7 linked regions of the Macaca fascicularis genome follow. The protein of the gene in region 1 purifies or fractionates together with the protein of each later gene. This does not show direct contact. Links are inferred from orthologs where the notes say so. Each region holds a gene or a part of one and is shown in the gene's direction. Other genes may lie near its edges.

Region 1 (4,139 bases):
GGAAATCCTAGCTCTATGTCATCTGGACATTGGAAAGCACTTGGTTGGACAAAGCTGCTTCTCCCCCACAGCACATGCCTGTTTCAGCATCTCAGCCCACATTCACGGAGAGGGAGAATATCGCAATTGTTAAGAATGCAGACTCTAGCACTACATGCCTGGGTTTGAATCCCAGCTCTGCTGCTTATTTGTGTGATTTGGGCTAGGTTTTTTAACCATCTGTGCCTCGGTAAATCCCATCTACAAAGCAGAGATAATAATAGTACCTACCTCACAGGGCTGTTATAAGGATTAAATGAGGTAACGCGGGTGTAACATTTAAAACAGTGGCACAGCACATAACAGGGATATGAACAAATGTTAGCTACTATTAGTGATATGTGAGTGGGGGAAGTACTGCCTTGGACTTGGGGCAATATCAGATCTGAGTTTCTGGAAAAACACCTGTGGAATAAGTAAGGGTTGGCCACCTCCTAAAACAGGACAAAAGATCTGGCTTGCCTAGATCCTTAGCGTGACTGCCTCTCCTCCTGCCTTTCTAGAAGCAGTATTACGTGATGGAAATATTTGGTGGGTGCTGTGGGCACAAAGATAAGTTAGTGTGTTTTTATCCCCTAGGAGCTGAGTCGAGAGTGGGAGAAAAATGCATAAATAATTACCAGGTAGGATGATTAAGCAATATACTGGAAGCAGCAACAGAAACACACTGTGGAAAAAAAGATACCCACGGCGTGGATGGAGATACAAGATGTGTGAAAGCGCTAAACACAGGCAGCCATATGCACCCATGTAAAATTGTATTATTGCTGACTCCTACAGGGCCCACTTTAACTCTTCTTTCAAACAGAATCCCTGCGGAACTAATTTTGTAGAACCACTGGGGGTAAAGACCTTTATTTGCAATGTCGAACTCCAGCAGAGTTAACCCCTTCTTGCTTTTCACAAGCGCAAACCCGGGTTCCAAACGCTGCAGTTCGCGTTTCCCGGCTAGGAAGAAACACGAGGAACTGCTTGCAGATCTAAGGTATGAAGCCATGAAAAGGAAAGCGAGGCCAAAAGGGTGCAACCACCACGTCTGGAAAGCGCCAGTGAAGCAGAGGAGGAGGAAGGTGAGCCCTGCCCCAGCCCGCTCTGCGTAACCGGGGCTTCCTCCGAGCGGCAAAGCCGGGCACCTCCTTGGCGCCTGCGCCGCGGCGGCGAAACTCGGCGCCGTGGACGTAGAGAGAGAGGGCGACGCACCTGCGCGAAGACGGCGGCGGCAGAAGCCGCTCCAGTGCGGCTGCGCGGAGGCCCAGGCGTCGAGGGGAACCTCGGCGGGGAGCGCGCCGGGCGCCTGCGCGGAGAGCTGCGTGACGCGGTGGCGCGCAAGGGACGTGCGGAGTGAGTGGCGCTGCGGGTGGGGCCGTCGGCGGCGCTGGTGAGCTTTGCGGAGCTGGGCGGTGCCGAGGACGAGGAGGTGGCGGCCTTGGTCTGACGCGGCCCTGTTTGTGGGGGCCCCTCTTGTTTATTTATTTATTTTCCGTGGGTGCCTCCGAGTGTGCGCGCGCTCTCGCTACCCAGCGGGGAGGGGGTGGGGGGAGGGCCCGGGAAAAGGGGGAGTTGGAGCCGGGGTCGAAACGCCGCGTGACTTGTAGGTGAGAGAACGCCGAGCCGTCGCCGCAGCCTCCGCCGCCGAGAAGCCCTTGTTCCCGCTGCTGGGAAGGAGAGTCTGTGCCGACAAGATGGCGGACGGGGAGCTGAACGTGGACAGCCTCATCACCCGGCTGCTGGAGGGTGAGTGCGCGCCGGGCCGTGGGACGGAGGGAGGTCGGGCGCCGCCGCCGACCCCTGCGTCCACCTCCGCCGCCGAAACGCGAGGGGACCTCTTTCCCGCCCCGAGGCTGTCTCTGGGAGCGCGGCGCGGCAGACCAGCCGAGGAGGGGGCGAGGAGGCTGCTGGGCGCCGGGGAGCGGCCTCCGGGAGCGCGGTCAGGGGAAATCGGGGGAGAGGGGGCCGTCCCCGCGGACCCTTGGTGGCCAGGCCCGCCGGCCGGCAGCTGTGCGGAGCGGGTCTGCGGGAGACAGCCTTTCGGAAAGGCCGCCGGGCTCCGCGCGCCGTCGTGCTCGCCTCCGGTGACTCCTCCGAGGAGGGGGAGAGGATGCCTGCCACCGGGCTTTGTGTGTCCGTGGAATCAGTGTTTCTTCTCTCTTTGTGCATTGCCCTTGGCTGCCTCCGATTGTCGTTCCGCGAGTGAATTTTATGTATATATATAAAAACCTGTCCGTAACAGGAATGCTTCGTCTGCTCTGCATTTTTACACGATGCCATAGAATGGATTCTTCTTAGAGAGGATAAAATTAGCGGGAATTTATCTACCATTTGTTATTCGGCCTAAAAAAATTGTAAGACAAAATATTTGATCAGGTTGAAGATGCACGTAAGAAATGTGATGTATGTAGATGTTGGCTTTTGCGTTTGATTTGAGCAGAGCTTAATTTCTGCACAACTTAGTGAAGATCTATTTTTAAAGCCTGTCTTGTGTTCGAAAGGTATTTGCAAGTCTACGCAGCATTTGAACTTTCCGGGCCCTGGTGTTCTTATCGAATAGTTTTATGTTGGTGGGAAGGCAAGGGGGGGGAAAGCCAGGAGTTAAATGTATTGATTCATTGCAGGATATTATTCAAAGTTAAATGCCAAACAGTCCTTCTACCCTAAAATGTTCGTCATCACTAATTGTTTTGTGAGTGTGTAGAAAAGCCATTAATCCCTTTTAAACAATTTAGAGGCCTCTTTGTTAGCCGCCATCGAAGGATTGCATATGTACTGTTTGCTTTCAAATTACCTTAAGATAATTGTTTGCTACAGTAAAGCAACATGTACTTATATTTGGAAAATCATCAAAGAATATTTTAATGGGGGAGGGGTAACTCGTTTTTTTCAACGAATGTGTCGGTATCTAAAACCCAAGTTCTGTGTGTAGCCGTTCTGTAACTAAATACTGTATATTTGCTCCAGAAGTGAAAGCCATCCAGCAGTCTTAAGACTGAATAGGAAGCAAAAGTTTTACCAGGAACTCTTATTTACCTTTTCCTTTACTATCAAGTTATTCCTGGGAGGCCCCCTGGTGCCTGCAGTCAGTGTTCACTACCTAAGACTTTGTTTCAGATGTGAACGTCTTGCTGGGTATTTGAGAAATTTGCTTTGAAGAAAAATTGTATTTTGTAACTGTTCTATGAGAGAAATACAGTTAATTTAAAAATGTATATGTCTTGTTTACATTTGGGAAAGTAGAGGCCTACTCTCCCCCCCCCTCCCCCCACGGAGTCTCACTGTGTCTCCCAGGCTGGAGTGCAATGGCACGGTCTCGGCTCACTGCAACCTCCGCCTCCCGGGTTTGAGCGATTCTTCCGCCTCAGCCTCCCGAGTAGCTGGGATTACAGGCACTCCGCCATCATGCCCGGCTAATTTTTTTTTTGTATTTTTGTAGAGACGGAGGTTTCACCATCTTGGCCAGGCTGGTCTTGAACTCTTGACCTCGTGATCCACCCGCCTCAGCCTCCCAAAGTGCTGGGATTACCGGCGTGAGCCATCGCGCCGGACCCAATTTTATATATTTTAAACTTTGCTTGTAAATTTAAATATTTTAAAAATATGTTTGTATCTCAACTTTATATTTTATTTCATTTTCCATCTATTTTATAGGCATAAAACAGATTTATGTTTTAAAATGTTTGTATCCTTTTAAATTAGATGCACCTTTTTATGATTACAGGTACTTAAACTTCACGAGTGGGTTGTGCAAGGTTACTGGAAAAGACATTGGGGGAAAAATAGTCTAAGTGATTCAATTTGTTTTTGTGAATTCAAATTAAGTATTTGGTTTTGTACAATCTTTTTTCCTTTTTGGGGGGCGGGGGTAAGAATTGTAGTCCAGACACATTTCTCTCAATTTAGCAAGCGTTAACATGTTGACCTCCTCCTTGCCAGGCACCAGCAATCCTAAAACAAGACACAGTCTCTTCACTCAAGGAGCTCCGAGTCTAAACAAGTGGCTTTCAGGCTTTTTCAGCCTTCTCTCTGTCCTGTGTTCAGCACACATTCTATCAGTAGATTTCAGTACTTCTTCATCCTACAGAAGCATATTTAGTTTGACAGTGCTA
Region 2 (3,500 bases), on another chromosome or scaffold:
GTTTCACTGTGTTAGCCAGGATGGTCTCGATCTCCTGACCTTGTGATCCGCCTGCCTCGGCCTCCAAAGTGCTGGGATTACAGGCTTGAGCCACCGCGCCCAGCCTCAAGAAATCCAAAATTTACAATATGGACAGGAAAAGGGCAGAAAGAATGGAACATGGGGGCACACAGCAGTCTGGCTCTGTCGTCCCACCTCGTGGGCTGTGTGAGATGGAACAAGATCATGATACAAGCGCTTGGCCCCTGGAATGTAAGAAGCGCTCAATAAATGCTTTGCCATTATGATTATGTGTGCCGGGTGCCTGGTACACAGTAGGTGCTCAATAAATCTTAATTCCTGCAAAGACCAGTCTAACCTGTGTCTGGGGGTGGCTAGTGGGCTGCTGGTGGGGTGGTGGTTAGTCACAGGTAGTACTGGATGAGACAGAAGATAGCCATGGTCAGGGCCAGATCCCCCTCCCCACCCAAACACCTCTACTCCCCATTTTTCTTGTCATTTTCTCAAGAGCCTCATGAGGCAGAATAGAGCAGTGTTAACTACCCCCATTTTTCAGAAGGGGAAACTGAGGCCCTGAGAGTCACCCTTACTTAGGGCCCTTCAACCAGTTTGCAGTGGGTCCCTGGCTCTCCCACATCTTCTTTTGGAGGTGGGAGCAGAGGGACTGGGGTGCTGGGAGTGGGACAGTCCCTCAGAGGAGTGGCTGCATTTGCTCATAGGAAGTCCGAGGCAGCGGGGGCCTTCCAGGCCCAGGACGAGGGACGGTCACAGCGGCCCAGCCAAGGCCAGAGCCAACTTCTCCGAAGACAGTCCAGCCCTGCCCCCAGCAGGCAGGTGAGCACTGCCAGCTGTCTGGGGCCCCACACCCCAAGGGGCGGCCACTGCCTCTTCCCTCCTGCTAGAAGCCAGGCAGGGAGCTTGGACAGGAAGGTCCTCTATGAAAGGGTCGGAGTCCAATCATGGGTCTCCAGCTCTCCCCTCTCCCCAAGGGCCAGAAGCTCTTGGCAAATTGCACAAGACCTCATATTAGTCCTTGGAAGACAGCCCCTGTCCCATGCTATCCCCTTCCTTTACTAAGTACTGCTTTTTTTTTTTTTTTTGAGATGGAGTCTTGCTCTGTCTCCCAGGCTGGAGTGCAGTGGGGCAATATTGGATCACTGCAACCTCCACCTCCCGGGTTCAAGAGATTCTTCTACCTCAGCCTCCCGAGTAGCTGGGATTACAGGGGCGTGCCACCACACCCAGCTAATTTTTGTACTTTTAGTAGAGACAGGGTTTCACCATGTTGGCCAGCCTGGTCACTCTTGACCTCAGGTGATCCACCCACCTCGGCCTCCCAAGGTGCTGGGATTACAGGCGTGAGCCACCGCACCTGGCCAGTACTGCTGCCAATACTGCTGTCTTGAGCAGATTTCAGGGAAAGCCTTGATGCATGAATCTGGCTCTAAGGGCCCTCTCTTTCAGGGTGATTTGTATCTCTAACAAAACCCAGGGGGCCAGGCCCACTGCAGTGGAATGGGGTATTGGTGGTGGAGGTTCTGGCACCTGATAGCCCAAGTTGGAATCAGTATCTTTGAGAGGGGTGAGAAGCCAAGAATGGGAGCAGGTCTTTGCAGATCTTTTTCTGGAACCGAGGAAAGCGGGTGAAAGGGAAGAGCTGACCCCCGACGGGGGAGGAGGGCAGGGACCCTGTGTGCTTTTTGGCCTGCTTTCATCCAGGCTGCTGTGTGAGCACAGCCTTGCCTCTCTGGGGGCCTGACTAAGAAAGGCAGAGCCGACAGCGAGGTCCCCAGAGAGAGAGCCTCACCCACCTCCCTACCTCATCCCCAGGTGACCAAGCGCCCTGCCAAACAGGCAGAACTGATCTGGCGGAGCCAAGCAGAGCCCCCTCATTCTCGGAGTCCTGAGAAGAGACCTGAGGGAGATCGGCGGCTCCAGGGGTCCCCGCCACCTCCCAGGACATCAGCCAGGACCCCTGAGAGGGAGCTGCAGACACAGAGACCTCTGGAGAGTGGCCAAGCAGGCCCAAGACAGCCTCTGGGGGCGTGGCAGAGTCAGGAGGAACCGCCAGGGTCCAAGGGCCCTCACAGACACCTGGAGAGGAGCTGGAGCAGCCAGGAGGGAGGCCTGGGGGCAGCCAAAGCCTTGGAGGGAGCATGGGGGGGCCCTCCTGGGGAGTACAGGGAGAGCTGGGGACAGCCAGAGGCCTGGGAGGAGGCGGCCACCCATGAGCCCCCCAGAGAACTAGGGAAGAGAAGCGCACTCACAAGCCCCCCTGAGAACTGGGGAGGCCCCACAGAGTCCTCACAATCCAGGCGCCCTGAGACACCCACTACTGTGGGCTGGGGGGCAGAGGGAGCGTGTCCATACTCGCATGGCCCTGAGAGGCGACCCGAGCTTGACTGGAGGGACCTGCTTGGTCTTCTCCGGGCACCAGGAGAGGGGGCCTGGGCCCGTCTCCCCAGGCTGGACTGGGAGGGCCTCTTGGAGCTCCTGCAGGCCAGGCTGCCCCGCAAGGACCCAGCTGGACATAGGGATGACCTGGCCAGGGCTTCAGGGCCAGAGATGGGTCCCCCAGGCACAAAGGATGTCCCCGAGCAGGAGTCACACAGTCAGCCAGAAGGCTGGGCCGAGGCCACCCCAGTCAACGGACACAGCCCCGCACCGTGGCCCCAGAGCCTGGCCCAGCCGCCCAGCCCTGCCTGCACCTCCACCCAGTGGCCAAAGACCAAAGTGACAAGAGGACCAGCGACCGTAACTCTGGCAGGCCTAGAGCAGACGGGCCCCCTGGGGAGCAGGAGCACTGCAGAGGGCCCCAGTTTGTCAGAGCTGCAGGTAAGGAGGTTCCCCCCTCCCAAGGGTAGCCAGAAAGTCAGCCCCCCACAGCCAAGTCTCCTTGGAAAAGCCTCCCCTTTGAGTAGCCTCAGCTCCTGCATCCCCCTCCAGGCTCAGACCTCAGCCTCCCTGCTGACCACAACCCATCCCGACCACCAAACTGGCCCAATACTGATGATGAGCAACACCGTTTTAAGTGTTTATGGGCCAAGCCCTGATCTGAATGTTTGATGTGTACTTTTACCATTTAGTCTCCTTAGCAACCAAGTGAGAAATACACTATTTATTTGCAGATAAGGAAACTGACGCGCAGGGTGAAGCCACTTGCTGGTGGGGCATGGGCGAAACCCAGATCCGCTCAGTGCAGACCACACTGAGGCCTCAAGCAAGATGCTCTGGCCAGGGCCTGCTCCCCTCCTGGCTCCACCATACCTGGTTTATGTTGTGTCTGGTGGCACACACCTGACCCCACCTGGGACTATAGCCAGTGTGGTCATGCCCCTTCCCCTGGTGATACCCAGGTTCCTGAGTCCAGGACAGCCTCGCTTACCCTCTCTGGCCCCTACAGCTCTTCTCAGACACAGAGAAGGGGGTGCATCAATGCTCACTGGGTTCAGCTAGCTGCCAAAACAGGCTGCTTAAATGAGGCTCGTGTGCAAAGTGGG
Region 3 (3,998 bases), on another chromosome or scaffold:
CGCGGGTTTGATCTCGTTGCAGGTTCCGGGGGAGGGACACCCCTCCACCCCGCCTGCCGGCGGTAGACGCGCCGTAAATGCGCTTTGGAGACCGGAGGATAACGAGACAGACTTACAGGCAGTGGGAAGGACGGGGGTCCCGCGAGGGCCGCCGGTGGGCAGTTCTGTGGCCGGCTCGGCGCCCCCGGACCCCGGCGTTCAGGACCCTGTGGGAGACCTTCCCACCTTCCCAGTGGTTTCCACCCCGCGAATTGCAGATTATCTCCCGAATCCCAGGGACTTAGCGGTCGAGTGGGCGGAGGGGGAGCGTGGCTCCGAGCGCCACTCCGGGCTGGGGGCAGGTTCCCGGCGCTCTCGCCCCATCGGGGCAGAGAGTACCGACCACGCTGCGGGACGCGGCTGGCAAGGCCCTGGCCCTGCCGGGGCCCTAGCCCCGGTCTAGGAGTGGAGACGCAGCCCTGCTGCGCGCTCCGGCAGGAGACCCGGGTGGGGACGGGGGCGGAGGAGCCTGGGGGCAGGGAAGGGGACAAAGAGCCGCCCTGCCGTGGGGAAGAGCGACCCCCATGTCACAGTCCTATTGTTCGCTGAGTCTCCGACTGCCCTGAACTCTGGTGCCCCCGGGAGGGAGAAGGGGCGCCGTCGCCCAGATCGTGGGTATTTGTTTATCTGGGGAGAGGGAGGAGGGCGGGGGACGCGGGCCGGGGAGGGGGCTCGACTGCTATTTCTGCGCGTCGCCTTTAAGGGAAGCCCGGCCCTACCTTTCCCACCGTCCCCCTCCCCGCAGTCGTACCTGCATTTTAAAAGCGCCCTGTAGCCCTGGGATTGGCCAAGGCCGCGTCCTCTGGGCGCAGAAACTTGAACCGCCGGGAGCCGGCTGCGGGCGGGGGTCGGAAACCCCGCGGATGGACCGTACCACCCCCGCGGCTCCCCCCACGCGTGCCCCGCCCCTCCCGCACACCCCCGGAGCGGCCCAATCGCACGGCCGGGAGGGCGGGACCGCGGCCGGAACGCGCCTCTGAGAGGGCACCGGCCGGGCGGGCGCACCGCGCAGGGGGACGGCGGGGGCCGCGCCTCTGCTCCCCCGTCGCCCTCGGGGGCGGGGCCGGGCCTCGGAGCCCCGCCCACTCTCCGCCCGGGGTGGGCGGGGCGGCGGGGGCTCCCGGAGCTGGGCCGGGGGCGGGCCTCCGCCTGCCTCGCCAGAGCCCTGAGAGCGCCCGGCTCCGCGGCCGCCGACGCAGCAGCCGCCTCCGCTCGTCAGCCCCGAGGCGCGCGGGCTCCCGGGCAGCCCCGGCGGGCGCGGCGAGAGGGCGCGCAAGGCTGCAGGGCGGGCCGCACGCGCCCCCGGCCGCCCCCCGCCCGCGCGCGGACCGGCCCAGCGGAGCCCCGGCGCGGGGAAGCGCAGGCCGGGCGAGGGCGATGCCGCGGTGACGGCCCCGCCATGGCGAAGCCCGCAGCGACGGCGGCGGCGGCGTCGGAGGAGCTGAGCCAGGTGCCGGACGAGGAGCTGCTCCGCTGGAGCAAGGAGGAGCTGGCGCGGCGGCTGCGGCGCGCGGAGGGCGAGAAGGTGGGCCTCATGCTGGAGCACGGCGGCCTGATGCGCGACGTGAACCGGCGGCTGCAGCAGCACCTGCTGGAGATCCGCGGCCTCAAGGACGTGAACCAGCGACTGCAGGACGACAACCAGGAGCTGCGCGAGCTCTGCTGCTTCCTCGACGACGACCGGCAGAAGGGGCGCAAGCTGGCGCGCGAGTGGCAGCGCTTCGGGCGCCACGCGGCCGGCGCCGTGTGGCACGAGGTGGCCCGCTCGCAGCAGAAACTGCGCGAGCTCGAGGCGCGCCAGGAGGCCCTGCTGCGCGAGAACCTGGAGCTCAAGGAGCTGGTGCTGCTGCTGGACGAGGAGCGCGCGGCACTGGCGGCGACGGGGGGCTCAGGCGGCGGCGGCGGCGGCGGCGGCGGGGGCGGCGCCGGCTCCCGCAGCTCCATCGACAGCCAGGCCAGCCTGAGCGGGCCGCTGGCGGGTGGCGCGCCCGGCGCGGGGGCCCGCGACGTGGGCGACGGCAGCAGTACGTCCAGCGCGGGCAGCGGCGGCAGCCCGGACCACCACCACCATGTCCCACCCCCGCTGCTGCCCCCTGGGCCGCACAAGGCCCCCGAAGGCAAGGCAGGAGCAACACGTCGGTCCCTGGACGACCTGTCGGCGCCGCCGCACCACCGCAGCATCCCCAACGGTCTGCACGGTAAGGACTACACGGGCCGGGCAGCGCGGGTCTCCCTGGCTGCAGCCCCTTACCCAGGCTGCGGCGAGAGGAGGTGGTCCCTGGCGGTCCCACTCGTGCGGCCGCCACTCCAGACTCCTCCTCCAGCTGTCATGGATCCTGGACCAGGGGATCCCGCACTCACCCGAAGTAGGGCTTTGGGCGGTTGTGGGCCGGTCCAGTCGTGGAGCGTCTTTCTGTTCAGCTCAGAACCTGCTGCCGGTCCGGTCGCAGGAAAGTTTCTAGTGGGTGTAGTTGCCAAAATTGGCGTCTGTCACTGCTGGGCTGGCGGTGGGCGCCTCATCCCAGCCTTGGAAATCCTTGCCTAGTAGCGGGAAGTTCTGAACAGAAAAGAATACAAGGCCTCTTTGAGCGCAGGTGAATTTCCCCTCTTGCAGCAACAGGTGTCCTCCAAGCCAAGCAGTGTCCACGTGTGTGCAGTGGCTGGAGTTCTGCAGTAGGGTGCGGGGATTGGAAGGGTGCACAGGCAGCTGCTTGACACCCAGGGGCAGCTGGGAAGAGGCCTGGGGCTCAGAGCCTTTCTGGTTTGCCATAAATTCCGCCCTTCTAGTCCCGGGACCTTTCTCAGCCGAGACTCTAAGACTTTCCCGAGGGAGATGTATTTGGAACGGATTCTAGTTTTTCTCCTCTGTCTATCTCCGTTTCTTTGTCTGTAAAATGGAGATGATGACCTCTGCCTCGTGGATTTGAGGTGGAGATAAACTGTCTGAAGGGATTTATAAACTGTTGGTCGCCTTATAGGAAGTGCCATGGTCATCCGTGACCAGGGTGTGGGTGGGTGGACCTTTGGCCTCTGTCAGCGCCTGTCTTCCACGCCCATATTACTGCTGCGCCCAGTGCAGAGGGTGGCCCCAGCTTGGGGCTGTGGGAGCCTGCAGGCTGCTCCCTCTCCCAGCCTCCTGCTCAGCCCTTCTGCTCCCTGCCGGCTTTCTCGTCCCTGCCGGTGGATCCAGGGCCTCCTTGTTCTTACACGTTTTTTGGTTGCTTGGCTTCCAGTTCTGCTGGTAGTTACAACTGCCTGAACTTTTTGCCTGAAGGTGGAGAATGAACAGCCCTTTCTGGTTGCCTTTAAAGCCTTTCCTAATTCAGAGAAAGTGTGTCTAGGCCTGAAATCACTGCCCTCCCCAGGACCCCTCAGCCTGAGGTGGGGAGGGACGTTTGCTCCTTGGTTTGGTGGCCAAGTGGCCTCTGCAGGCGTGATGGGGTGGGGGCTGGGGTGGGAGACATATCCATGGAGGTGGGGCGGGGGCAGTGCAGCATATTTTTCCTTTATTTACCATCCTGAGCCTGTGGGTTCAAGGTAGGACTGACTGGGTTTAGAGGGATATTTTGTTACTGATTAGCAATCTATGGCTACAACTCAGGTTTCTCTTTGTAACACTGTATCCACCCCCCACCTCCCACCACAGGCTGCTTGAGGGCAGTGAGAGTAGTGCAAAGTTAGGTGATTTAATTCATTTTGGGGCTGTTTAGAGTACCTCAACCCCTTTGACTTCGCGGTCCTGGGGGGCTTTTGAAGGGTCAGTTATCTGGGCCTCGGTTTCCCCAAGGGCAGTACAAAGGAGCAGACTGCTGCAGTCTCGTGGCTGGAAAATGAAATGTTTCTGGTTTTCAGCTGCGTCATCAATGACACTTGGCGAGAGTGCCTCTCTGCAGGACACTGGAGGGCTGGAGTGTTTAGAGCATACTTGCAGGAAAGTCTCTGTCATGTTTTGGGCAAAG
Region 4 (4,175 bases), on another chromosome or scaffold:
CTCATAACAGTTAGCATTTGTTGAACTTAATTTTCTTTTTCTTTTCTGTTTTTTTTTTTTTTTTTTTTGAGACCGAGTCTCGCTCTGTCACCCAGGCTAGAGTGCAGTGGCCGGATCTCAGCTCACTGCAAGCTCTGCCTCCCGGGTTTAGCCATTCTCCTGCCTCAGCCTCCCGAGTAGCTGGGACTACAGGCGCCCGCCACTTCGCCCGGCTAGTTTTTTGTATTTTTTAGTAGAGACGGGGTTTCACCGTGTTAGCCAGGATGGTCTCGATCTCCTGACCTCGTGATCCGCCGGTCTCGGCCTCCCAAAGTGCTGTTTTTTTGATACAGAGTCTTGCTCTGTCGCCAGGCTGGGGTGCCGTGGCGCGATTTCGACTCACTGCAACCTCTGTCCCCCGGGTTCAAGCGATTCTCCTGCCTCAGCCTCCCGGGTAGCTGGGGCTACAGGTCGGCACCACCAGGCCCAGCTAATTTTTGTATTTGTAGTAGAAACGGGGTTTTACCACGTTGGCCAGGATGGTCTCCATCTCTTGGCCTTGGCCCACCTCGGCCTCCCAAAGTGCCTCGCCTCCATAGCAGGCGTGAGTCACCGCGCCGGGCCTGTTGAACTTAATTTTCTAATCTCTACCTGTGTCATCCTCACAGCTATTCTGTCTGCAGCTATACGTGCAGGGATCTTTATGTCTTATTATTCATCTGTTATCTTCCGGTGCCTAAACAAGGCCTGGTACATAGTAGGTGCTGAATAAATGGTGTCAGCCCGAGGCTCCTGAATTCCTGCCCGGGCTCAGGTGCAGCGCGGCGCTCCAGGTCCCGCCGTAGCGAGCGGCAGCGCTGGGCTCCGGCCCAGCTCCCGGCGCGCTCGCCCCGTACTGGGATGGGCTGGGCTGGGCTGGGCCCGGCCGGGCCGGGCCGCGCTCCGCTCGGCGGCAGTTCCGGGTGCGCCGCAGGAGTGAGCGCGTGCACGGGGTGGGGCGCAGACGGCAGGTCGCCTCACAGCCCCGGTGCCTTCCGCATCCCCGCCCGCGGGGACTGTGGGGCGCGGTTCCCTCGCCGACACCCGCTGCTGCAGGCCCAGAGTCGGGTACTGGACCTCCAACAGCGCGGACACCCCTCCGGCCCGAGCCCCGTACCCCGGGCCCGGAACCCCCGGCAGGCGAGCCGCGCCGCTCCCCGCCCCGCCGCGCAGACCCCGCCCCCGCACCCCGTCGGCGCCCGCCTCCCGCGCCGCTCTCCATACTTGGCGATCGCCGCAGTCCCGCGCGCTCATTGGCCGCGAGCTGGCGGCGTGGGGGGCGGGCCCGGGCCGGGCCGGGGCGGGGAAGGAAGGTGGCGGCGGCCCGGCGCGGGGGGAGGGGGGCGCTGACCCGGATGTTCACTCCTGGGCACCCGGGGAAGTGGAAGCGCCGGGCCCTGCTGCGGGGGGGAGAGCCACTGACGCCGGGACCGGGACCGCCGCCGCCGCCGCCACCATGGTAAAGGCCGCACGGCCCCCTCCCCGGCCCGGGGGCCCCTCCGGAACTCGCGTCCCCCTCCCCCGGCCCATCCGTGGCCCGGGACTGGTGGCTTCCCGGGGTGGGGGAGGGGCGGGGTCCCGGACCCTGGGTGGACCCGGTCCCTCCCCGCCCAGGAGGGTGCCGCCGGCGCGGACGACTTGGGTGGCAGTGACCCTGCCCCCGCTCCCAGCCCTCGCCCTTGGCACAAGCTGGAGTCCCACTCACCACCTCTGTGTCCAGGCTGGTCTCTCCCATAGCCCAGGCTAGACCCTCCCTCCCGAACCGTGGCCCCAGCCAGGCACCCCCCCCCCCGCGGTGACCCTGGCGTGGGCCCCCTTCCTCCCCCGGTCTAGGGCTAGGTCTGCTTTCCCCCGTCTCTCCCGCCCAGGCTAGGCCGTCGTTTCTCCCTGCCATGGCCCAGGCTAGGCCGCTGCCTCCCTCCCTCCCTTGCCTTCTCCATGGCCTCAGGCTGGACCCCGGTCAGCCCTTCCTGCAGCGGTCTAGGTTTGCTTCCCCTCTTCTCCGTGGCCTCAGCCTGAATCTCCTCATCCCTCTGTGATCTTAAATCTGGACCTCCTCTCCTCCGCCCATGGCCCCGCCTGGACCTCACTGCCCCCTCCCCACCGTGATCCCCTTCCCTGGACTTCTCGCCACTCCTAGCGTAACCTGCGTCAGCCCCGCTCGGTCTCCGCCCTGACCCTCTCATCAGGGTTCTGCCCCCTGCCCCGTGCACGACCCAGGGTACCCTTCCCTCTACCTGGGGCGCGCCTTCTTTGCAGCCTTCGGGAAGCGAGGGGAACTCTCCAGCAGGGATGGGGTGGTCCCGGTGCTGTGCCTTCTCAGTTGCCCCTTCTAGGGAGGCCGCTTGGGAGCCAGCGAGGGAAAGGCGGGCATCGGTGTGCCCAGAAGGCAGCGCGCTGCGCTGCGGGCCCTTCTCGAGGTCGCCGCCGTGGGTGCTGTGCTTGCGAAGCGTCCTGCAGGGCGGGCCGGGGTCCGCGGCGCCCAGGCCTGAGTGGGAGCTGAGGGCTGAGGGTGGGTGGCCCACAGGACAAGGATGAACGCACAATCGCCCTTGTGAGGCCATGGCCTTGGGGGGCCAGCAGGCCCAGGATCCAGCATATGGCCTGGACACCATGCACCCGAGCAGGCGCAGCCTCCCCTTCCCTCTGAACTGTCAGCTTGTAAGGGTGGGAACTGCTGATTATGGAAGTCCCTTGGATCAGGTGAGCAGAACTCCGAGGGAGAGTGCTGGCTCCACTCGTAGTGTTTGATTTGGTAAAGAAAGCAGATGCTATCCAGACTTTTGAGGAACCTGGGGCTTCACATAGGCCCCCACAGATAGACCTGCACTCCTACCTCTTGATCATTCCGCAGGACAGGCCCAGCACTTAGGTTGGAAGGGCCAGAGAACTTCCTGACAGGGTCAAGGGATTTTTGGAGCATATTTGTATGTGGGCTTTGGGCCTCAAAGTGTTTTGAGGACCCTGGTTCCTTGTTTAGTCAAGGGATGTTGCTGCTGAACGAGGGTGAGGAGTTGAGATGAGTTAAGCTTTCTTTTGATACCTTCCTGTATGCTGATTAAAAACAGGGGCAATGCCACTTTTAAGGCCTTCGGATTTCTCCAGTGACGTTGGCTGAAAACTCCTTGTTTGGGGAGGCCTTGTTTTGACCCCAGGTCTGGGTGGAGCACGACTTCTCCAGGGCAGTGTTGGGTGAGGACTTTGAAAGTGGGCTGAAGTTTCGTTACTGAGTGTGCACTGAAGACAAAGTATGCGGCAGGAAGCGGTGATGCTCCCCAGGTGATGGGAAAGTGCCCCAGTCCCCCAGGAGGAGCACATGACACCTGAAGCTTCTCAGGAGTCTTGCACTCAGCTGTCATCTGAAAAGACTGGAAAGGGTGGAGGAACTGTCTGTCTGCCAGTCACTGTGGTGTGCTTCACCTGTACAAGCTGGTTTCATCCACACGAAGCCCTTCTGGGGCTGTCCGCATTTGATAGATGAGGCAGCTGAGGCTCAGGAGGTGCAGTGACTTATTCAAGGTATTGCCCAGCCAGTGGAGGAACCACCGTTGGTCAGTAGAAGCCCATCTGGCAGCCTCTAAACTGTTATTCCCATTGTACCAAGCTGCTTATATGTCAGGAGGTTTAATGACACCGTTTGAAAAACATAGAATGGGATATTCAAACATGGCAAGGGGGGAGGAGCAGTATTTATTGCCCATGGTTTGTATTTTAAATCCTTTGTATAGAAAATCATGTTATAGCGAAAGAGCTGTATGGTGGTACAGGCATATTTAGCATGGGCCAGAATGAGCTCTTGGAGGGCAGAGATTTTTGTCTTGTGTATTCCACAGCTGTATCCGTGGGGCCTAGAACAGCACCTGGCATTGGAAGAAACCACTTGGAATGTTCTCTTTGGGATGTGTCTGTGTCCATGAACTTACCTGCTTGGATTTCATATTCATTCTCTCAGTCACTTGTTCTTCGTATCCCTTAGGCTTGTAATTTCTGACTGCTTATTGTTAGGTTTATCCCCTATTTGAATACTCTGACCATTAAGCCAGTGTAGATGGTTGGGGTAGGACAGAAGTGGTGGTGTGAGGTTGCATTGAAGGGAAATGAAATCAGATCACCGTGTTTTTCATTTTCAGTAGATTCGATGGTAAAGAATACAGCTA
Region 5 (4,257 bases), on another chromosome or scaffold:
TGGTAGACAGTACTGTTCTAGAATCATCCCTAGCAGAATTTGGGGAATTTTATGTAATAAGAATTTTGAGCTTTGGCGGAATCACAGAGGACGTACAGTCCAAAGCCTGGGGAAACTGAGGCACAGAACGATTTATGGGTGACATCAGATCACACAACATGTGTCAATCCGGACTTCTGGACTTCAAGTTCACGCAGCCCAGAGAACAAGCTGCTGATTTTTGTTCAAACCTGCTTCGTTCTTACTGTGCATTTGCACTCAGTGTTGGCTGTGGGGGAGGACGGAGTCCTAAAAACTGGGAATGGTTCAGTCCTGAGATGTTCAGAGATGCAAATTCTGGACACATCTCTTTTATCCCTCCCTGGCTTGTGGCTTTGTTTAAGGCTGTACATATGGGCTAGGGTTGGGAGGGTGACTGAGACATTTGATGGACAAAGACCTGTTGAGTTTCCTCATTTCCATCAGTACAGAGATTGGGAACATACTCCCGGGGCCATGGAAGACTGTCATCCTATAAAATTTCTTCTTTTTTGCTTTTGAATCTTCATTATCTCCTCTGTCTGCTTCCTTGTAGGGGTCCATCGTAAAGCCATTAATACGAAATACCTGGAGGTTCATATCTTCAGAGGCCGCAAGGAAGCAGAGTCTATAGAAAGCTTTGGGAAGGGAAAAGGAGTCTCTCTCAGGATGTGGTGTCCACAGCTGAAGGGCTCAGAAAGTGGGCTTAGCTCAGGGGCCTGGTGCAGGAGATGACTGGAAATCAGCCCGGGCTCGCAAAGTGCCCAGGGGCTTTGATGTGCCCAGCATCTTTCCTTCCTCCCCCTCTCTCCCTCATTAATCCCATGTGCTTCGACACCTCCCAATGACTCTTCCGTCACTGGTTCTATAATTCTCTCCCTCCTCTGCTCCCAAACCTCCAATGGCTCACTGCTGCCTTTTATTAAAGTCTTTCTTAGTCTTATATTGAGGGCCCATTTGCTCTTGTATAGAAATCATCTCTTTCCCTCCTAAGTGTAGAAACCAGTTTTGCATATATGAGTGCCTTACTGTTACTGTGGTTTGCAGAATTATTCAGTTGGGGTTTGGCATTGACAGTGATTGAGGCTTTGCTCAAAGCTCTTTGATGTTTAATAGCTTGCTCAGGAAGAAGTTTTGTTTCTGGTGAGACTTTGTTGAGTCGGTAGCCTGGACAACTACTTAAAATCAGTATCCAGCTGAAAATTCAGGGCCTAGTAAACAGACCAGAAAGAAGGCAATAAAAGCTGATGAAAAATCGTGTGTCTGTAAACCTCGGGTAACCTTGAGCTGCTGGTTTGGTTCTGTAACACGGTGAACAGAGTGAGCTGTGGATGAGGTCAAAGGCCAATGTGCTGAGGAGCAGCTGTCTAGTTCAGCTGGAAATTAGCTAATGTGTAAACCGGCCTTGAGGTCTTTTTAAGTTGCTTCATATTCCTAGTGTTAGTTAAAAGAAGTAACTTTTATCTCAGACTTTGGTGACTAGCTGTGATTTCATTGCACTATTTATGTTTTCTTTTGGGAAAGCGGCCTTCTTGGGTGTCTCCATGGTGAAGGGGAAGGTATTTTAAAACATGCTCCTTTGGGAGCAGGTTTTGATTTGAGTGATGGGAGGGTGGGGGCTGCGAGGACCGCAGCCCTGCTGGTCAGTGCAGCTGTGGTCAATGTTGTTCACAACCTCTGTTTCTTCTCTTTCTCTATAGACCAATGAGTGGAACAAGAATGATGACAGACTGCTGCAGGCCGTGGAGAATGGAGATGCGGAGAAGGTGGCCTCATTGCTCGGCAAGAAGGGGGCCAGCGCCACCAAACACGACAGCGAGGGCAAGACCGCGTAAGCTGAAACACTGGTTTGCAGATATGCCAGTTATGGGTTTTTGGGGATGTTCTCTGGAATCCTTAGTATCCGCAGGGGAATTTCACATGTGCTCCCGCTCCACTCCCATATTGAAATATGTGAGAAGATATTTTAATCTAGTTCCTTTCTCTCCAAATTCCAAGTCACACATGGAGCTTTACCTCGAATGGGTATACATGTTTCCAGGTATTAGCAAAGGTTTTACCTCCCAAGATTGCAACCAGTTGTAGGTGAGACATGAATTCTGTCTTCGATAAGAAATAGCATAAAAGAGAAAAAAGTATTTTCCTATGACCCTCAAACCTTACTGTTTATTTATCTTAAACTACTTGTTTATTTATTTGATCTTCCTTAGCATAGATCAGTAAGTACGTGAGTAGTATGATTTTGCTTTGTGGTTTGCTGTGTGTAGTACTCTTGCTTGCCGTAATTAAAGCTACACACTTGATTAGTATTTGTGTGTGTTTGTGCATGTGCATGTATTTGTTTATATCCACTCTGACGTTGGCAGTGTTGTGGAGAGAGCACTGACTTTGGAGCCAGATAGACGTCTCACAAGAACTCTATCACTTATGACTTGTGTAATCCTTGAACCTCAGTTTCCTTACTCTAAAATGGAGACGGTATTAGTTAACTGTTAGAGTAGTTATGAGTATAAAATGAAATAATAATGTAGGTTGGATGCCCTCAGAAGCAGGCTCTGAGACAAGGATTTAAGTGCAAGTAGTTTCATATCTTTTTTTTAACATGTCAAATGACGGTTATTGTGTAATTACTGTGAAACACACAAAGCAGTAGTATATATTATTTAGGGATGTATACATACATACAATGCAAGTAATTTCTGTAGCCATTGATCCCAGGAAGCATGAGAAAGGAAGAAACCTGTATTTTTAAGGTGTGTTATTGACAGGTTCCAACTTTGTCACTCTTTCTTGAAGAGGATTCTGGGAATCTGTTTAGACCTAGAGCAGGGTTTGGCTATGTTGCCCAAGCTAGACTTGAACTCCTGGGCCCAAGCAATCCTCCTGTCGCAGTCTCCCAAGTAACTGGGACTACAGGCATGTGCTACCATGCCTGGCTACTGTCTGATTTTATAAATAAAGTTTTACTGGAACACAGCCACACCCATTCATTTAGGCATTGTCCATGACTGCTCCCACACTACAAAGGCAGAGTTGAGTAGTTATAGCAGAGACTACATGGCTCACAAAGCCCAGAGTATTTATCTAGCCTTTTACAAAAAGGGTTTCCTTATCCCAGGTTTATAGTATGCTTCAGAGTTTTTCCACCCAAGGTGTGAGGAACCTAGGGTACCTATCCCTTATCTCCTCTCCCTCAAAGGTTGAGCGCTGACCGGGTACAGTGGCTCCCGCCTGTAATCCCAGCACTTTGGGAGGCTGAGGCGGGTGGAATCACTTGAGGTCAGGAGTTTGAGACCAGCCTAGCCAAAAGAGTGAAGCCCTGTCTCTACTAAAAATAGAAAAATTAGCCAGGTGTGGTGCAGACATCTATAATCCCAGCTACTTGGGAGGCTGAGGCAGGATAATCACTTGAACCTAGGAGGCGTAGGTTGCAGTGAGCTGAGATTGCGCTACTGCACTCCAGCCTGGGCAACAGAGCAAGATTCTGTATCAAAAGGAAAAAAAGAAAAGAAAAAATTGAGTGCTACTCTAAGGGACACCATGGTCATGGCCAGAAAAAGTCTAAGGGGTCCCCAACCCCCAGGCCACAGATGGGACCAGTACTGCTCACAGCGGGAGATGAGCAGTGGTTGTGCAAGCATAACCTTCCTCTGTGTTTACAGCCACTCCCCACTGCTCGCATTACCATCTGAGCTCCGCCTCCTGTCAGATCAGCGGCAGCATTAGATTCTCACTGGAGCACAAACCCTATTGTGAACTGCACATGCCAGGGATCTAGGTTGCGAGCTCTTTATGAGAATCTAATGTTTGATGATCTGTCAGTGTCTCCTATTACCCCCAGATGGAACCGTCTAGTTCCAGAAAAAAAAGCTCAGGGCTCCCACAGATTCTACATTACAGCAAGTTGTATAATTATTTCATTATATATTAAAATGTAATAATAATAGAAATAAAATACACAATAAATGTAATACACTTGAATCATCCCAAAACCATCCCCCATACTTGGTCTGTGGAAAAACTGTCTTTCACAAAACTGGTCCCTGGTGCCGAAAAGATTGGGGACCAGTGGTCTAAGGGGATTTGGGAAGGGCACCTTCAGCTGTAGGTGCTCTGTATAAAGAGTGGCACAGCACCCAGCCCACAGTGGGCCCTTGATAAAACCAGTCACCTACCCTGCTCATCCTAGATTAGTGGTTCACAATCTTGGCCGCTTCTGCATTTCTGCATTCGAATCAC
Region 6 (4,271 bases), on another chromosome or scaffold:
CGTAGAACAATGGACGCTGGTCTTACATATGAAATCTATTCAAGCTGCACTTTTATAGATCACCCTAATTCCAAAAGATCCAAAACTACCACGGGCTCCTCTAACCCCCCATTTCCTTGGAGGCTTCAGGATATCCGGCCTGACGGCATTTCCCCTCACCTGCTTTCGGGGCCCGTTTTGCGCTGGGCAGTTGCGCCCAAGGAGCGCGCGCATCCAGCATGAGCTCATTTCTCATGGGCGTTTCCAGAGGCCCGGCCGGGCCGCGCACACCAAGCGCAGCGGGCCTCTCTATCAATGGCCCCCGAGGCTGGGCGGGGCGCGGCCGCCCAAAGAAGCTTTGTTCCCATTTTAGCGTCTGAGAGCTTGCTGCCGGCTGGGAAGGCCCCCTTTGTCCGTCAGGCCCTTTCGGGGAAGAGGCCGACACCCGGCACACGCGATCCAGGGCAGAGGAGAGCCTTAGGCGCGCAGAATTGGCTGCGCCCCGCCGAGAGCCTCCTGTGGATGGGGAGAACCCCTCGACCCCTCTGCTCGCTTGAGCGCTTAGAACCCAGCGCCGCCGACCGCAGCACTTTCCGATTTGCTGCGCCTAGGGCAGGCGGTCCCTATTTGCGGTTTCCACCGTAGTTGGAGGCCGCAGGCGAGCCGTCGGGTCGTCAGCCACGACCCTAGTCGGGCATCTCCCAGGTCCTGGGACGAAGGCCGAAGGCCAATCACACCGCAGCTAGGTCTTGCGATTGGACGGCAGTGAGAGCCGATTGGCCACCGCCGCGAGTTTCGAGCTCCACCCTCTCCCTTTTGCCCCAACTCCAGCGCCTAAGCTTCCGGCCAATGAGACGGCGCTTTATAGACGCCCTCCCTTCGCTTTCTTTTCCCCACCTTGGAGAGGGAGGGGGAGTCCTGACTGGCCAAACTGTCCTCGGAAGCCCCCTTCCCTTCACCAATCACCGAGGGAGGTACGCTCCCAGCGGAGTTTTCCAGCCAATTACAAAGCGGCGGCGGCGCCCAACCGTGCAGTTTCACCAGCGTCTCTGGGTTTCACCGTCTTCAACTCTTCAAGCTTTTTCGTGAGGGCCGGCGACTCTGATTGGCCACTGTTGCCATTGTCGAATGTCTCCTCCAGCCAGCCACCGAACCAGGCGAAATCACCCTTTCCGTTCGGCTGCCTTCGGCATTTTCCGCTCTTTGGGCGTGGCTTTCCAGCGTCACTTTCTAATTGGTTTCTCAGGCCGATCGGCTTTTTCCGGGAGGAGCCGCAAACAAACGACGTCCGTGATTGGCTCCGTTCGGGCTTCGGCTCCCAGCCGAAGCGGGCGAGAGTGGGGCTCGGGCGGCGATTCCCAGACGCCTGTTACGCGGGCGGCGGTGCGCTGGGCGGTGTAAGGCTGGGTGGGGGAGGAAGGAGGTGGAGGAAGAGTAGGAAGGGGGAGGGGGAGTGGGGAAGTGCAAGGCGGCTGCGCAGACAGCGCTTCTCACACAGAGCAGCCCCTGACCCGGGCGAATGCGGGCTTGTGCCGCCGCTGCCGCCGCCGCCCGGGCCGAGTGACAAAGGAAGGAAGGAAGGAAGGAAGCGAGGAGGAGCCGGCCCCGCAGCCGCTGACAGGGTTCTGGGCTGGGGGCAAAGCGCGGACACTTCCTGAGCGGGCACCGAACAGAGGCGAGGGGCGGGAGGGCGGCCGAGCTGTTGCCGCGGACGGGGGAGGGGGCCCCGAGGGACGGAAGCGGTTGCCGGGTTCCCATGTCCCCGGCGTATGGGGAGCAGTCGAGGAGCCGCTGCCTGGGGTCTGAAGGGAGCTGCCTCCGCCACCGCCGCCGCCATGGCCGCTGGATCCAGCCGCCGCCTGCAGCTGCTCCTGGCGCAATGAGGAGAGGAGCCGCCGCCACCGCCCGCCTCTGACTGACTCGCGACTCCGCCGCCCTCCAGTTCGCCGGGCCCCCGCCGTCAGCCCGCCGGATCCCACGGCTGCCGGAGCTGCAGCGTTTCCCGTCGCATCTCCGAGCCACCCCCTCCCTCCCTCTCCCTCCCTCCTACCCATCCCCCTTTCTCTTCAAGCGTGAGACTCGTGATCCTTCCGCCGCTTCCCTTCTTCATTGACTCGGAAAAAAAATCCCCGAGGAAAATATAATATTCGAAGTACTCATTTTCAATCAAGTATTTGCCCCTGTTTCACGTGATACATATTTTTTTAGGATTTGCCCCTTCTTTTCTCTCCTCCCAGGAAAGGGAGGGGAAGGAATTGTATTTTTTCCCCAGCCGTAAATCATCTATATGTTAAATATCCGTGCCGATCTGTCTTGAAGGAGAAATACATCGCTTGTTTTGTTTTTTATAGTATACAAAAGGAGTGAAAAACCAAGAGGACGAAGTCTTTTTCTTTTTCTTCTGTGGGAGAACTTAATGCTGCATTTATCATTAACCTAACACCCCAACATAAAGACAAAAGGAAGAAAAGGAGGAAGGAAGGAAAAGGTGATTCGCGAAGAGAGTGATCATGTCAGGGCGGCCCAGAACCACCTCCTTTGCGGAGAGCTGCAAGCCGGTGCAGCAGCCTTCAGCTTTTGGCAGCATGAAAGTTAGCAGTGAGTATTGATTTTATTTTACGCCCCTTTTCCACTTCGCCCTTAAAATAAGAAATCTCGGAATACCAGGATCTGAAAATATTAGACTTCCTAATATAACAAACAAGCAATGGAAAAGGGCAAAACCTATCTTCAGTCAAGGATGAAGCAGCTCCCTCTTTACTCCTCCCATACCCCCTCCCCCGGTCTCATTAACCTTGAATTGAGATAATATGATTTTTATTTGGATGATTCGATTTGAAACTGCTTTCTTATACTTTTCTTGCTGTTGGTAGTCAGTTTCATCAAGTGCTTGAGTGTTTCCACGTTAGTGATGACCGTGTTTACTTGCCCATCCTTTAGAATAAAGAGAAGGACAAGATTTGATTAATAAACCATTGTGCACATTTGCAGAATGTATGTCTTTTGGAATAAGAGGGTATTTTAGGTCTCAGGATTTATCATAGTTTGGTATACTTAATAGAGACATTAAACGTCCCACCCTCCCAACATTTTTTTCTTGTCTGTATGACTACACATAGTATTTGTTCTTAATCTGTGGATGAACTTGCTCAGTAACCATTCACATTTGGAGGCTGTCATTGATTTCTCTCTTTAGAAGGGACTAGTGGGAGCCAATAAATACCCAGCAGCAGTAGCATCTCTGTATGCATTTGTGTTCGATTGGATTAGTGGTTTGATGTGTTCTCTCTTAACCTTCCTGTTTTGACATTACCAACCTGCCACCGTATAATTTATATTTAATCAAAAGGTAACATGGAAGTATTAATAGGTCCAGGTTTTGATTGAGATTTGTTTTGTCATAGTGCCAAATAGTAAGTTAAATGTTGTCACTGGCTCATTACATTTAAGTTCAATTTTGGAGTACTGTTGCGCTCCTGTTAAATGTTCTGGGGGGTTCCTTAAAAAGGACGATTTAAAATACTCTTGCGTTAGTTTCCATCACATTTAGATAACTGTGGATTTAGTTAGAAGAATGTGGATTTAGTCCTTTCCATTTTGGCTTTTGCAGATGGCTGTGGTCCTGCAAATAATAGGGATATTTGGACTGTGTTCAGGGTTGTAGATAGACTACTCTTGTCCTGGGTTTGTGCTGAGAAGTATGCTTTTGAATGTTTAGTATATACTAAGTATCTAATGTTCCAGTGTATCTCTATTTATGGAGAAGTTCATGTGGTGTTTAATGACAGCTTGTTTAAACATACTTTCAGAATTTAACAAAAATATCTATGTTGTTTCCTTATTGTGGGAAAGAGGGTCATCATGAGGGCAAAGAAATTACTGTGTTGCTTAGAAGAACGAAGAGAACTAAAAAACTGAGATTTTAAGAACTGACACACACAAAAAACATGTATGTTATGTGAAATTGATTATATTCTTAGGCAACATAAAATGATCACTTTTAGTTGAACTCAAGATTTCATTTCGTGTTGGCTTTGGGAACTAGCCTGAAACAGGGTAGTCTAGGTAATAGCTGAATGGGAGATTATTTTTCAAAGTTAATTTTTTTTTTCCCCCGGTGGTTTGCAAGTAGAGAATGCCGGGGTAGGAAAAGAGGACAGCTGATTATGCATCTTTCAGGGAAGGGTCGTGCTTTCTAAGCGCTTCATGGAGTCATTTGAAAAATATTTTAAAATTCCGGGGTAATTTTCAGCTATGATGATACAAATCTTATAATAACTACTTAAGAGCCT
Region 7 (3,500 bases), on another chromosome or scaffold:
CTGGCTACTTATTTATCCCTAGAAGCATCATTGTGAATAATTAAAGAGGTTTCCAATAAATGTAATCTCACTCATTAATTCAGTCATTTAGGTGTACCTCATATACTGCCACTGCTTCTAAGGATGCCTGTCTGACTTCCTACTTTTTTCAATAGAAAAATACTAAATTAGACAGGTACAGTGGCTCACACTTATAATCTCAGCACTTTGGGAGACCAAGGTAGGCAAATCACTTGAACCCAGGAGTTTGAGACCAGCTTGGGCAACATGGGAAAACCCCATCTTTAAAAACAATAAAGCAATTAGCCAGACATGGTGGCATACACCTGTAGTCCCAGCAACTTGGGACTGGGAGGCTGAGGTGGGAGGATCACTTGAGCCCGGGAGGTCAAGGCTGTAGTGAGCTGTGATTGTGCCATTGCATTCCAGCGTGGGCAACAGAGTGAGACCCTGTCTCAAAAACAACAACAACAACAGCACCACCACCACCACCACCACCACCACACACACACACACACACACACACACACACACACACACACACACACAAAGATACTTATTCTACTTTGCTAAAATGATGCTGGGGAAGGCATTTTCCCCCTTAGAATCAGAGTAGCTTGTAAAAAGCTGACATTGAACCCCTAAAGCTGGAAGGAGTACATACATGTGTACATTCAGATGACTGATGAAAAGAGAAAATCTTATGTGAGTTGGAGATTAGTGATTAATAGTTTTATTTATTTTCACCGTATCAGGCAGTAAAGGTAGCCTTATATTGGAAGAAAGGCCTAAGTCTTCTTGAAAAGGTCTTGGACCTCAGGAAGGGTCTGTTGGCTTGTGTTCCAAAGACTAGTTGTACCCCAAACTGGTCCTTGGCCTAATACTGATCTATGATGTTTCCCTAGTTTATGGCAAAATGAGATAATTAAGGACAATGTAAGCTTTCCATAAAGCTTTCTTTTTTGATATTAACATTTCATTTTTAATGAAATGGTGGTGATGATGAGTTCAAAAAGAAAACATCTTTCAGAATGTTGTTTTCTTTTGGCAAAATTAAATTTAAAAGATAAAAAGATAGCAACCCTTTGACCTCTAGTTTTATGGGTTTTTTTTTTTTGGTTTTTTTTGGAGGCTGCTCAGTGAAATCTAAAGCTCTCTAAACTGCTACTCTAGATCAAATAAATTTCCTTGAAATTAGCAGAATTTAAGTGGAGTGGCTTCTAGAATTTTTATCAATGTTAACTTAAATCACTTTATCATAGTACCTTAAAATGTATTTATAAATTAGCCTGTTCCTGGCTGGACATGGGCTCATGCCTGTAATCACAGCACTTTGAGAGGCTGAGGTGTGAGGATTGCTCGAGTTTAGGACTTCGAGACCAGCCTGGGCAACATAGGGAGAACTTGTCTCTATTAAAATTTAGAGAAAATTAACCAGGCATGGTGGTATATGCTGGTAGTCCCAGCTACTTGGTGGGCTGAGGTGGGAGGATCGCTTGAGCCCAGGGGGTCAAGGCTACAGTGAGTTCTGATTAGGCCACCGCACTCCAGCCTGGGCGACAGAGTGAGACCCTACTTCAAAAAAAAAAAAAATAAAAGATAAATTAGCTGGTCTCATTTTTTCCAGTCTCCACATATTATAAGGGATTAAGCTCATTATCATCATTTTACAGGTGAGCATGTTGAGACCTAGAGAAGTAAAGTATCTTATTTTCAGTTCCACAGTGAGTTAGAAGAAGATACATTACTCGAATACAATCTCCTGGTGTTCCAGGTCAGTATTAATTGCACAAGGATAGCAAATGGTGTTTAATTTCTCATAACAACTCTGTCAGGTAGGAGCACTGTGTGAAGAATCCGAGGCTATTTTTGACTTAGGAAGAAAGAGCCTGGAGAGGTTATTAGTGTTTGCCGGGTGAGGGAGGGAACATTGGCAGAAAGACTGCCCTGTATTTGTTCTTAGCTACCTTATGTTGCCTCGCTGAACTTAGTTAAGTGTGGAAAAGGCAAATAGGCTGAAAAAGAATCATCAGAGCCTTTATTTTTCATTTCTTTTGCTTCTCTCGTAGTTCTCTTCTGGCCTTTTTAACAAGCCAGAAGAGCCCAAAGATGAATCTCCTTCTTCGTGGAGATTGGGACTGAGAAAAACTGGCAGCCACAACATGCTGAGTGAGGTGGCCAATTCCAGGGAACCTCTAAGGGACCGAGGCTCTTCCATCTACCGTTCCTCTTCAAGCCCTCGGATTTCTGCTCTACTAGACAACAAAGATAAGGTGCAGTTTGGGAGGGTATGGGGGAATTCCAATGCAGTTTTTTTTTTCCATGAAAATTCAATCTTAGGAACAAATGAAAATATTTTCTAGTCCTTAAGTTGATTTTGGAAATGCAAAGCCTTTAAAGGGAGACAGGCACACTGATAGTTTAATCAAGTAGCTATTTGCTTGCTATTATTTACTTGGCCAAAAAAAAAAAAAACTTTAAAAATAGCTTTTCCTTTTGGTTCGTTCAGTCTTCCTTGCCCCCTTACCTAAAGCAAAAAATAGATCAGAAACATAAAAATTTCAATATGGCGGAGGGGGGCACAGGACCGCAGGCAGGGGTCCTGGAGCCAGAGGGCCAATTCCTATCCCCTCAGCAGCATGGCATCGTGTGCTGAACCCTCTGAGCCCTCTGCCCCCGCCTCCTGCCAGGGTCCCACTGCTCGAGGACTTCGAGGTGCTGGATGGGGTCGAGAATGCAGAGGGCAAGGAGGGAGAGGAGGAGGAAGATGACCTTAGAGAGCTGCCACTGCTGGAGGACATGGGACAGCCCCTGGTGGAAGAGACTGAACAGCCCGGGACCTTGGCCCGAGAGTTCCTCACTGCCATGGAGCCTGAGCCTGCCCCGTCCCCGGCCCCAGAAGAGTGGCCAGACATAACCAGCTGTTGAGGAAGAAGACGCTTGTCCCAGGGCCACCGGATTTGAGCTGCTCAGTCAAGGGCCAGGTGGTCACCATGCATTTGCAGACATCACAAGAGAATGGCATGTGGGTGCAGGAGGAGCCGGAGCTAGTGTTCACCCTGAGCGTCTGTGAGGTCATCCAGGCCCTGGATCTCAGTGTCTAACTCATGGACGTGGGGGAGGCAGCCATGGTCACTGCTGACTGCATGTACTGCTACAGCCCCCAGGACAGGAGCCCATACATCCCCCGCACGCGGCCCTATGCCTGGAGGTGACCCCGAAGATGGCCGTGGACTGGCCTGACCTGGAGATGCTCATAGGGCAGGAGCGCGTGGCCTTGGCCAACCGGAAGTGGGAGTGCGGCAGTGCCCACTACCAGTGGGCGGACTTCGTCCTGGCCACCAACTCCTATGACCTTGCCATCAAGACCGTCACCTCCAGCGCCAAAGTGGACATGACGTTCGAGGAGGAGAAGCAGCTCCTGCAGTTGAGGGTGAGGTGTCTGAACAACCTGGTGGCCTCACAGGTGAAGCTCGACCACTACTGCGCAGCCCTGCGCT

Evidence for each region.
Region 2: the proteins of PPP1CB (region 1) and TRIOBP purify together in Homo sapiens (affinity purification with mass spectrometry; 3 studies listed by BioGRID and IntAct, with this or other methods). This does not show direct contact. The link is inferred for Macaca fascicularis from reciprocal best matches to the Homo sapiens genes PPP1CB and TRIOBP.
Region 3: the proteins of PPP1CB (region 1) and CCDC85C purify together in Homo sapiens (affinity purification with mass spectrometry; 3 studies listed by BioGRID and IntAct, with this or other methods). This does not show direct contact. The link is inferred for Macaca fascicularis from reciprocal best matches to the Homo sapiens genes PPP1CB and CCDC85C.
Region 4: the proteins of PPP1CB (region 1) and CAPZB purify together in Homo sapiens (affinity purification with mass spectrometry; 3 studies listed by BioGRID and IntAct, with this or other methods). This does not show direct contact. The link is inferred for Macaca fascicularis from reciprocal best matches to the Homo sapiens genes PPP1CB and CAPZB.
Region 5: the proteins of PPP1CB (region 1) and RAI14 purify together in Homo sapiens (affinity purification with mass spectrometry; 3 studies listed by BioGRID and IntAct, with this or other methods). This does not show direct contact. The link is inferred for Macaca fascicularis from reciprocal best matches to the Homo sapiens genes PPP1CB and RAI14.
Region 6: the proteins of PPP1CB (region 1) and GSK3B purify together in Homo sapiens (affinity purification with mass spectrometry; 3 studies listed by BioGRID and IntAct, with this or other methods). This does not show direct contact. The link is inferred for Macaca fascicularis from reciprocal best matches to the Homo sapiens genes PPP1CB and GSK3B.
Region 7: the proteins of PPP1CB (region 1) and PPP1R12B purify together in Homo sapiens (affinity purification with mass spectrometry; 4 studies listed by BioGRID and IntAct, with this or other methods). This does not show direct contact. The link is inferred for Macaca fascicularis from reciprocal best matches to the Homo sapiens genes PPP1CB and PPP1R12B.

Annotation. Positions count from the first base shown.
Region 1 is NC_088387.1:93,467,775-93,471,913, reverse strand, and holds the start of PPP1CB (serine/threonine-protein phosphatase PP1-beta catalytic subunit), read left to right. Parts: upstream 1-1,339; 5' UTR 1,340-1,380; exon of another isoform or gene 1,381-1,417; intron 1,418-1,426; exon of another isoform or gene 1,427-1,634; 5' UTR 1,635-1,721; coding exon 1,722-1,773; intron 1,774-4,139. UniProt on the Homo sapiens protein: Protein phosphatase that associates with over 200 regulatory proteins to form highly specific holoenzymes which dephosphorylate hundreds of biological targets.
Region 2 is NC_088384.1:13,901,998-13,905,497, reverse strand, and holds part of TRIOBP (TRIO and F-actin-binding protein), read left to right. Parts: exon of another isoform or gene 1-340; intron 341-719; coding exon 720-834; intron 835-1,830; coding exon 1,831-2,835; exon of another isoform or gene 2,836-2,860; intron 2,861-3,500.
Region 3 is NC_088381.1:167,683,220-167,687,217, reverse strand, and holds the start of CCDC85C (coiled-coil domain-containing protein 85C), read left to right. Parts: upstream 1-1,198; 5' UTR 1,199-1,438; coding exon 1,439-2,237; intron 2,238-3,998. UniProt on the Homo sapiens protein: May play a role in cell-cell adhesion and epithelium development through its interaction with proteins of the beta-catenin family. May play an important role in cortical development, especially in the maintenance of radial glia.
Region 4 is NC_088375.1:215,599,076-215,603,250, forward strand, and holds the start of CAPZB (F-actin-capping protein subunit beta), read left to right. Parts: upstream 1-1,375; 5' UTR 1,376-1,474; coding exon of another isoform or gene 1,475-1,477; intron 1,478-4,175. UniProt on the Homo sapiens protein: F-actin-capping proteins bind in a Ca(2+)-independent manner to the fast growing ends of actin filaments (barbed end) thereby blocking the exchange of subunits at these ends.
Region 5 is NC_088380.1:35,050,762-35,055,018, forward strand, and holds the start of RAI14 (ankycorbin), read left to right. Parts: upstream 1-1,457; 5' UTR 1,458-1,523; coding exon 1,524-1,577; intron 1,578-1,718; coding exon 1,719-1,849; coding exon of another isoform or gene 1,850-1,865; intron 1,866-4,257. UniProt on the Homo sapiens protein: Plays a role in actin regulation at the ectoplasmic specialization, a type of cell junction specific to testis. Important for establishment of sperm polarity and normal spermatid adhesion.
Region 6 is NC_088376.1:163,085,250-163,089,520, forward strand, and holds the start of GSK3B (glycogen synthase kinase-3 beta), read left to right. Parts: upstream 1-1,471; 5' UTR 1,472-2,489; coding exon 2,490-2,577; intron 2,578-4,271. UniProt on the Homo sapiens protein: Constitutively active protein kinase that acts as a negative regulator in the hormonal control of glucose homeostasis, Wnt signaling and regulation of transcription factors and microtubules, by phosphorylating and inactivating glycogen synthase (GYS1 or GYS2), EIF2B, CTNNB1/beta-catenin, APC, AXIN1, DPYSL2/CRMP2, JUN, NFATC1/NFATC, MAPT/TAU and MACF1.
Region 7 is NC_088375.1:60,186,559-60,190,058, forward strand, and holds part of PPP1R12B (protein phosphatase 1 regulatory subunit 12B), read left to right. Parts: intron 1-2,069; coding exon 2,070-2,273; intron 2,274-2,510; exon of another isoform or gene 2,511-3,500. UniProt on the Homo sapiens protein: Regulates myosin phosphatase activity. Augments Ca(2+) sensitivity of the contractile apparatus.